Linked DNA regions of Ovis aries. The protein of the gene in region 1 interacts with the protein of each later gene in a pairwise test. Links are inferred from orthologs where the notes say so. Each region holds a gene or a part of one and is shown on either strand. Other genes may lie near its edges.

What was found. The genes of interacting proteins can lie anywhere in the genome.
Region 2: the proteins of NEDD9 (region 1) and NFKBIA interact in binary tests that used the Homo sapiens proteins (3 or more experiments, as listed by UniProt). The two-hybrid records come from large-scale screens. The link is inferred for Ovis aries from reciprocal best matches to the Homo sapiens genes NEDD9 and NFKBIA.

What each region holds. Positions count from the first base shown.
Region 1 is NC_056073.1:44,332,847-44,336,592, forward strand, and holds the end of NEDD9 (enhancer of filamentation 1), read left to right. Parts: intron 1-961; coding exon 962-1,471; 3' UTR 1,472-3,440; downstream 3,441-3,746. UniProt on the Homo sapiens protein: Scaffolding protein which plays a central coordinating role for tyrosine-kinase-based signaling related to cell adhesion. As a focal adhesion protein, plays a role in embryonic fibroblast migration.
Region 2 is NC_056071.1:43,395,032-43,398,777, forward strand, and holds the start of NFKBIA (NF-kappa-B inhibitor alpha), read right to left. Parts: upstream 2,317-3,746; 5' UTR 2,229-2,316; coding exon 2,002-2,228; intron 1,381-2,001; coding exon 1,272-1,380; intron 944-1,271; coding exon 733-943; intron 343-732; coding exon 254-342; intron 131-253; coding exon 1-130. UniProt on the Homo sapiens protein: Inhibits the activity of dimeric NF-kappa-B/REL complexes by trapping REL (RELA/p65 and NFKB1/p50) dimers in the cytoplasm by masking their nuclear localization signals.

The DNA.
Region 1 (3,746 bases):
GAAGCCTTATTTATATGCATTAGTCATCCCTGTGTTGCTGGATAATGACATTTATAAATCTGGACAGAAAGAGTAGGAGAAATAAAAAAGGGTCATGGATTATCTTTTATGTAAGTGTCTGAAAGGGACAAAGTCAAGGCTTTCCTCTAGAAGGAGCAAACAGCATCAGTGGCTGACTTGACAAAGAGATCCCTACATTTGCTTTTCCCTGGCCACCACTCAATAAACATTTACCTAGAGCCTACATAATACCAAACATTATTCTAAGCACTTTGCAAATGTTAACTCATTTAACCTTCGTAAAGACATAGGTAACTGTTGTTCAGTCGCTCATTCGTGTCTGACTCTGCAATTCCAAGGACTGCAGCACGCCAGGCTTCCGTATCATTCACTATTTCCCGGAGTTTGCTCAAACTCATGTCCATTGAGTCAGTGAGGCCATCCAACCATCTCATCAGGGTGTGTAGCTAAGTGGTAGAGCATTTGACTGCAACCATCTCATCGTCTGTTGCCCCGCTCTCCTCCTGTCTTCAATCTTTCCTAGCATCAGGGTCTTTTCCATTGACTTGGCTCTTCCCATCAGGTGACCAAAGTATTAGAGCTTCTGCTTCAGCATCAGTCTTTCCAGTGAATAGTCAGGGTTGATTTCCTTCAGGATTGACTGGTTTGATCTCTTCGCTGTCCAAGGGAGCTGGGTTGAAACCCTACCCTGCCTTCCCTTCTGAGGACAGAAGAGACCAATCGTGTCCAGTTGCAGAAGTCAGAGCTGGAGGATTCCTTAGGCATCCTCTTTCTCAACCTCTGCATTTTACAACTCAGGAAAGCCAGGCAAGCTGACAAGGCCTGGCATCTAAAAAACCACCTGACATGAACATCCCTGCCTTACAGCTACAAGCCCTGGTTAGTTTCCACTTCGGCACACACCGCCTTGTCCTTAACTAACTTTTTTTCTCCCCTGTAGCTGAGTCAGTTCCAGCTGCTGGAACAAGAAATCACAAAGCCCGTGGAGAACGACATGTCCAAGTGGAAGCCGTCCCAGAGCCTCCCGACCACCAGCAGCGGCGTGAGCGCGCAGGACCGGCAGCTCCTCTGCTTCTACTATGACCAGTGCGAGACCCACTGCATCTCCCTGCTCAACGCCATCGACGCGCTCTTCAGCTGCCTCAGCTCGGCGCAGCCCCCGAGGATCTTCGTGGCCCACAGCAAGTTTGTCATCCTCAGTGCCCACAAACTTGTGTTCATCGGAGACACGCTGACCCGGCAGGTGGCCGCCCAGGACGTTCGCAACAAAGTGATGAACTCCAGCAACCAGCTGTGCGAGCAGCTCAAGACTATAGTTTTGGCCACCAAGACGGCCGCGCTTCACTACCCCAGTACCCCCGCCCTGCAGGAGATGGTCCACCAGGTGACCGACCTGTCCAGGAACGCACAGCTCTTCAAGCGCTCTCTGCTGGAGATGGCCACGTTCTGAGCGGAGACGCAGGAAAGGGAGCACTGCCTTGGGTTACTGAGGAAAACTGGAAAACACTCTCTGGTTTTTGTAAATCTTGTCTATTTTTGTAGATATTTTTGTATAAAAGTGAAAGACTTTCACATTTCATGGGTTAGATGGCATTCAGAAATTCAGGGAACTCCAGGGGGGTGGTGTGTGGCTTTTTCCCCCCCGTGTTGTTCTTATGTATACACATAAGCATCTGAGACACAAATTGTACAGAATCTTATCCACATGTGTGTGACTACGTGTTCACGTTCGTTTGTAGATGTTTGTCTGATACATTCCATTAAGAACCATGAGATAAGAAGCACCTTAGGAGGCACCTCCCAATGCTGCATTTTCTTTTTAGAAAAACCTACCAGCTGGTTGCAATATTGCTCTACATACACTCGTGATTGTTCCGAGCCTGTCACTCCCAAGTCTGAGACACACAGTACAGTGTGTTTGCAAGTGTTCACCTTCCATAAGGAGGCGGGTTAATACCTTGTTTTCCTTTTTGAAAGCCCCTCCAAAATTGGCCGTCTCGGACATGTTATTGCAAGATGCCTCACTTCTGGTTGAAAAAAAACCCTCTTAGAAAGTTTCAGAAAGTCTTGATATATCTTAACCCAAACTCTGACACATTAGGTGCCAGAGGAGAGACACGTGTGTTGAGGCTGCTTCCTGATTAGCGCTGGGTTGTTTCAACACAGGACGCTGTCCCAACAAAAGGGGACCATGTGTTCCCCAAAGACTTTCTTTTGTGGCCCCACCAGGTGGCATGTGGGATCTTAGTTTCCAGACCAGGGCTGGAACCCATGCCCCCTGCATGGGGAGTTCAGAGTCTTTAACCACTGGGCCACCCAGGAAGTCCATCCCCAGGGCTTTTTGATCATCGGCATTTGTGAGTAATCTGGCCATGAGATTTTCCAAAGGACATTTTCAGATTTGCAAAAAAGCATATTGTTTGCAGCAGGAATTCCTAAAAACACATTGGGCAGTGATCATCCACAAAAGAAGGACGGTTCCACCCGAGTTGTAAGTGGAGGCCTTTCTGACTGACTGTCATCATCCTCTTCGGTGCTGCTATCCCTGGTACCTGAGGGAAGCTGGCCAGTTCCTCAATCACCTAAAGGTTAGAGACGCCAGGCTACAATCTTACTCTTAGGGGAAGTCGTGGCTTGATCCTGTACCCTCCCTAAAACGTGCACACGCACACCCAGCGCTCAGAGCAGCTGTCAGGAGCCCATCTAGGCTTTACAGCTCTGTCTGCCCAATGACCCCGTGAACAGCTCATTCACTGTTCCCCAGCTCAGCACAGCATCCATTCCACAGTCTGTCCTCTGATACATGCTGGGGTTGGCACAGCATCACAAGCCATCGGATTCATCATGGGGCAAATGAAACCCTTCCAACCCAATGGGTAAATGTATTCACAAATCACCAAGTCAAGAAGCAAGTTATTTATGGTTTGTCAGTCCAGTTTTCATTTAATGATCCCACTCCAGTCAACTGGAAAATGTTTGATTTGCAATATATGCCTTGACTTAATTAAGCTTGCTTGCTTTAGACAACCAAATTATTGGAACAGGAGAGGATTTAGGAGAGAAGGATATATGATCTAAGTGGGATTAAATAAAAAATCAGTAAAACTTATCCAGGAGGTGCTTTTCAGAACCAGTGTTGTAGTTCTCAACATTCTATTCTGCCAAAAGAAGTCAGATTGCTGTAGGACAAGCAAGTGTGTGTGGAGGAAGGGGGTTGCTAAAAATCAGCAATGAGTTTGAAAAAGTGTCCTTGTAGATTTCATTGTATCATGTATTTCTTAGGAGATGACTTGTTCTATGCTAAGAGGTGACATTTCATGTTTTCAAAACCAAAATGTTCAATCTGTGTTAATCTCTTTCCCGTACTATATGTAGAGGCTATTTTTAAATCATTAAAATTTTGGATGTCTGTTTTCATAGGCCTTGGGTTTTCTTTTTCCATTTCTTTCTTTGTCACACAGTTAAATGTTAGCTTATTTTGGCACTCCTAACATAGAAAGGTGAATTATGGTGAGTTTATTAATACTATAGATCTGGATTTTTGAGTAAAATTGAGAGCTATACGCTCATTTTGTGTCACTTCAGAATGTATTGCATTTGAAGAAAATTCTGGAATTTTTGAGCATTACCAAACCCAAATGTCTGAAAAAAGGCTTCTCTTCACCAGGAAGCCTGAATATTTAAATGGTAGGTGGGATGGTATCTGCTGTCATAATGTGAATGTA
Region 2 (3,746 bases), on another chromosome or scaffold:
GCTGGTACGGGGAGTAGCCCTGGTAGGTGACTCTGTTGACATCAGCCCCACACTTCAACAGGAGTGACACCAGGTCGGGATTCTGCAGGTCCACTGCCAGATGGAGGGCAGTTCGGCCATTGCAGGGCTCCTGGAACCATAAGGAATTCAAGATGCTTATGGCTGAGTTTGGAAGTTCTGCTTGCAGCAAAAGCCCTCGTATTGAGGACCAGGGTGGCCTGATGTACCCCATTTGAAGGTGTGAGGCACTGACCTGAGCGTTGACATCAGCGCCCAAGGACACCAACAGCTCCACGATGCCCAGGTAGCCATGAATAGAGGCCAAGTGCAGACACGTGTGGCCTAGAAGACCAAAAGTAAGACAGTATTATAACTACTTGTTTCAACACTCATTTCTCAAGCAGAAGCTTTCACCTATTCTTTTTTTTTCTTCATTTATTATTTTCAATTGAAGGATAATTACAATATTGTATTGGTTTCTGCCATACATCAACATGGATCAGCCATAGGTATACATATATCCCTATTCTTTTGAAGGATACATTCTTAATTTGAAGAGCTCAGAATCTGGGTTCTGAATGGACTTTAGAAAGGCATCAACTAGGCCTTTATACATGTTTTCTCCATCTTTCATATGTTGAGAGCTTAGGCCTTGCTTGGCCTCCTTAAGTCAGCCTGCCTCCCCCGTGTCCACCTCACCTGCCCTCTGATGGGCAGGACAGCCAGACATACCATTGTAGTTGGTGGCCTGCAGAATGGAGTGGAGCTGCTGGGTTCCCCGGGGCTGAGTCAGGACTCCCACACTGGCCAGGCAGCCCTGCTCACAGGCAAGGTGTAGGGGGGTATTTCCTCGAAAGTCTCGGAGCTCAGGATCACAGCCAGCTTCCAGAAGTGCCTCAGCAATTTCTGGCTGGTTAGTGATCACAGCCAAGTGGAGTGGCGTCTACAAACAGAAGAGGGACAGAAAGGATAAGCCATGGATCCAACCCACCATCTGTGTTCCCTTGAACCCCAGAGATATCTTGGTTGTGGGTGCTGCTTTTCCCAGGCGCATACCAGGGGCAAAGCAAAATACCAGAGGCCCCAGATGGGCTTCATAAAGGCCTTCCCAAATCAATGGAATTTTGTGTTCTAGAATACTGGCTGACACAGGTGTAAAAAATCAGGGCAGATAATGCCCAAACCTTTGTTAATCTAGAAATCATGTGCAAGACCCGGTTTTATCTCGGGGTCAGAGCGGGAGAGAGAGGTACGCGGCGGGAGAGCAGTACCTGCTGCAGGTTGTTCTGGAAGTTGAGGAAGGCCAGGTCTCCCTTCACTTGGCGGACCACTTCCATGGTGAGGGCCTTCTCTTCATGGATGATGGCCAAGTGCAGGAACCTGAGGGGAAGAGAGGGAAAACCCCCAGGGCTGGTGAGTGCACTGCGTGGGGCCCGGGGAGGCGCGGCCCGCGGGGGATTGCGCAAGGCCGGGGTTTCTGGAGGCCGAGGCCGCGGTGTTTTCCGCGAGGTTATTATGAGCTGAGTGTTCCTGGCAGGCGCCCAGGGACTTTCCGGCCCCCCGCCCCCCCCGCGCTCGGCGGCGGGCGCCGGCCAGACCGCCCCGCCCTCTCGCCCGGCCGGAACGCCCTGTACTTCCCCTCCCGGCCGCGCGGCGCCCGCCAGCGGGGCAGAAACTCCCGCCCCCCCCTTATGCAAGCGGGGACTTCGCGTCCCCGCCGCCGCCCCGCCTCCGGCCGAGGGGACCCGCACGGGGGTGTGCGTGCGGGGGGTGCGCGCGGCTGCAACGCAGGGCCGCGGGACCACGGCCCCGGAAACCAGCGCCGACCCCCGACCCGCCCCCCCCGCCCCGGCCCCCGGCCCCGCAGGCAGCCGTGCACCTTTGCACAGCCTCGGGGTCGGTGCACGAACCCCGGTGCGCGGCCGCTGCGCGGGCCCCGCGCCTGGGGCTGCAGGCCCAGCGCCTCCACCCGGCCCTGCCACCCGGGCCCGCGACACTTACGAGTCTCCGTCCTCGGTGAGCTGCTGTTTCCAGGGCTCGGCGCCGCGCGGCGCCTCCTGCGGCTCGAGGCGGATCTCTCGCAGCTCCTTCACCATCTGCTCATACTCCTCGTCCTTCATGGAGTCCAGGCCGCTGTCGTGGCGGTCGTCCAGCAGCCTCTCCTTCTTGAGCGCGTCCCGGGGGCCCTCCATGGCCCAATCTTGGCCGGGCTCGGCAGGCTGGAACATGGCGCGGTGAAGGCTCGGGCGCTGCTCCCCAGTGCACGGGCCGCGGGCTGCGCTGCGCTCTGGCTGCTCTCGGAGTCGCGGGCGAGCGGGACGACGGGCTAGGACTGTTGTGGGCTCGGCAGCGCCGCCGCGGCGCCCTATAAGCGCTGGCAGGGGATTTCTCCGGGGCGGGGTCAGGCGCGGGGAATTTCCAAGCCAGTCAGACCAGAAAAGAGAACTGGCCTCGTCCTCTGCTAGGGGGAAAAAGAAGCCTAAACCCCGCGCCCGAGTTCATCAGAGAAACTCCCTGTGATGAGCCACTGGGGTCATGTACAGGGAACTTTTTGATGAACGCTGAGTGGCTGGAAAGTCCTCCTGACCGGGCCCCCTCCCCGGGTACTTCCCTGCAACCTGCACGCAGTAATCCTGGCCCTCTGCAAGAAGCTCTCTTTCCCTGGGTTTTCCCGATTTGATCGATTTGATTTAGGGTCGTCAGCTGCTGAGATCCCAAAGACGCAGGCCTGCAGGCTGGTTCTTCACTGGGGTTTACCGACCTGCAGGTCTTTTCCGGTTTTTTTTTAAATCTTTTGAAAACGCGAGTGGAAATGTTGGCCGGGTGTAGGGATTCACTTCCCCAAAGCTCTCTGCGGGGAGGACGCACTGGTCGGTGGAAGGTGGCTGCCTCTGCCTTCCTGCCAGTACCAGGCTCTTAGCATTGTAGGCACCGGCTGAATAGCCAGCCCCAGCCCACTCTCCACTCCCACCCCCACCGCCCGACCCCCGGGTAGAAGTTTCTAAAGCTTTTGGCATTAAAAGCCTAAATGATTGCTGCTACTGCTGCTGCTAAGTCGCTTCAGTTGTGTCCGACTCAGTGTGACCCCGAGACAACAGCACACCAGGCTGCCCCATCCCTGGGATTCTCCAGGCAAGAACACTGGAGTGGGTTGCCACTGGGGAACCGTCAAATCATTTCCTTGGGATTATCAATCCTGTTGACTGGAGGAGAGGCAAGCACTCTGCCCTGTATGCAGGAAAACGGTGAAAACAACCATGGTATTTTTCAAGGAAAGCAAGGTATGAGTCTTTGTAGCAGAGGCTGTAAATCCCTTGAAGTAAGGAAATAATTATGGAGGTCGGGTTCCCTGCTCTGCACTGTGCTGCTGCAGGGAACAGACCCTGAGCATACTTCTGGGTCCTCTGCTGGGTGACTTTGCAGAAGCATTTGGGGAAGGTGGCTGAAGAATGGGTAGAGTAGTGCCTTATCCAAGATGAGGCCTTATGGATGGCTAAGAAATTAGCTGCCAGGCATAGTGCAGGAGGCTCAAGGCAGCCCATGGTGCCCTTCATCCTGCCTCTGCTGGCTCCTTGCTCTCCTGCCTGGGAGAGACATGCATGGGACCCATGCTTGCCATATGGGTAGCCACTCCAGGCTCACCACCCTCCTCTCACCTGCAGAAATAGAACCTAGGCTCTCTGCGCCCCCCCCACCTCCTAGTCAATGAGAGGTATGCATTCATCTATTTCTAGAATTGGTCCAAG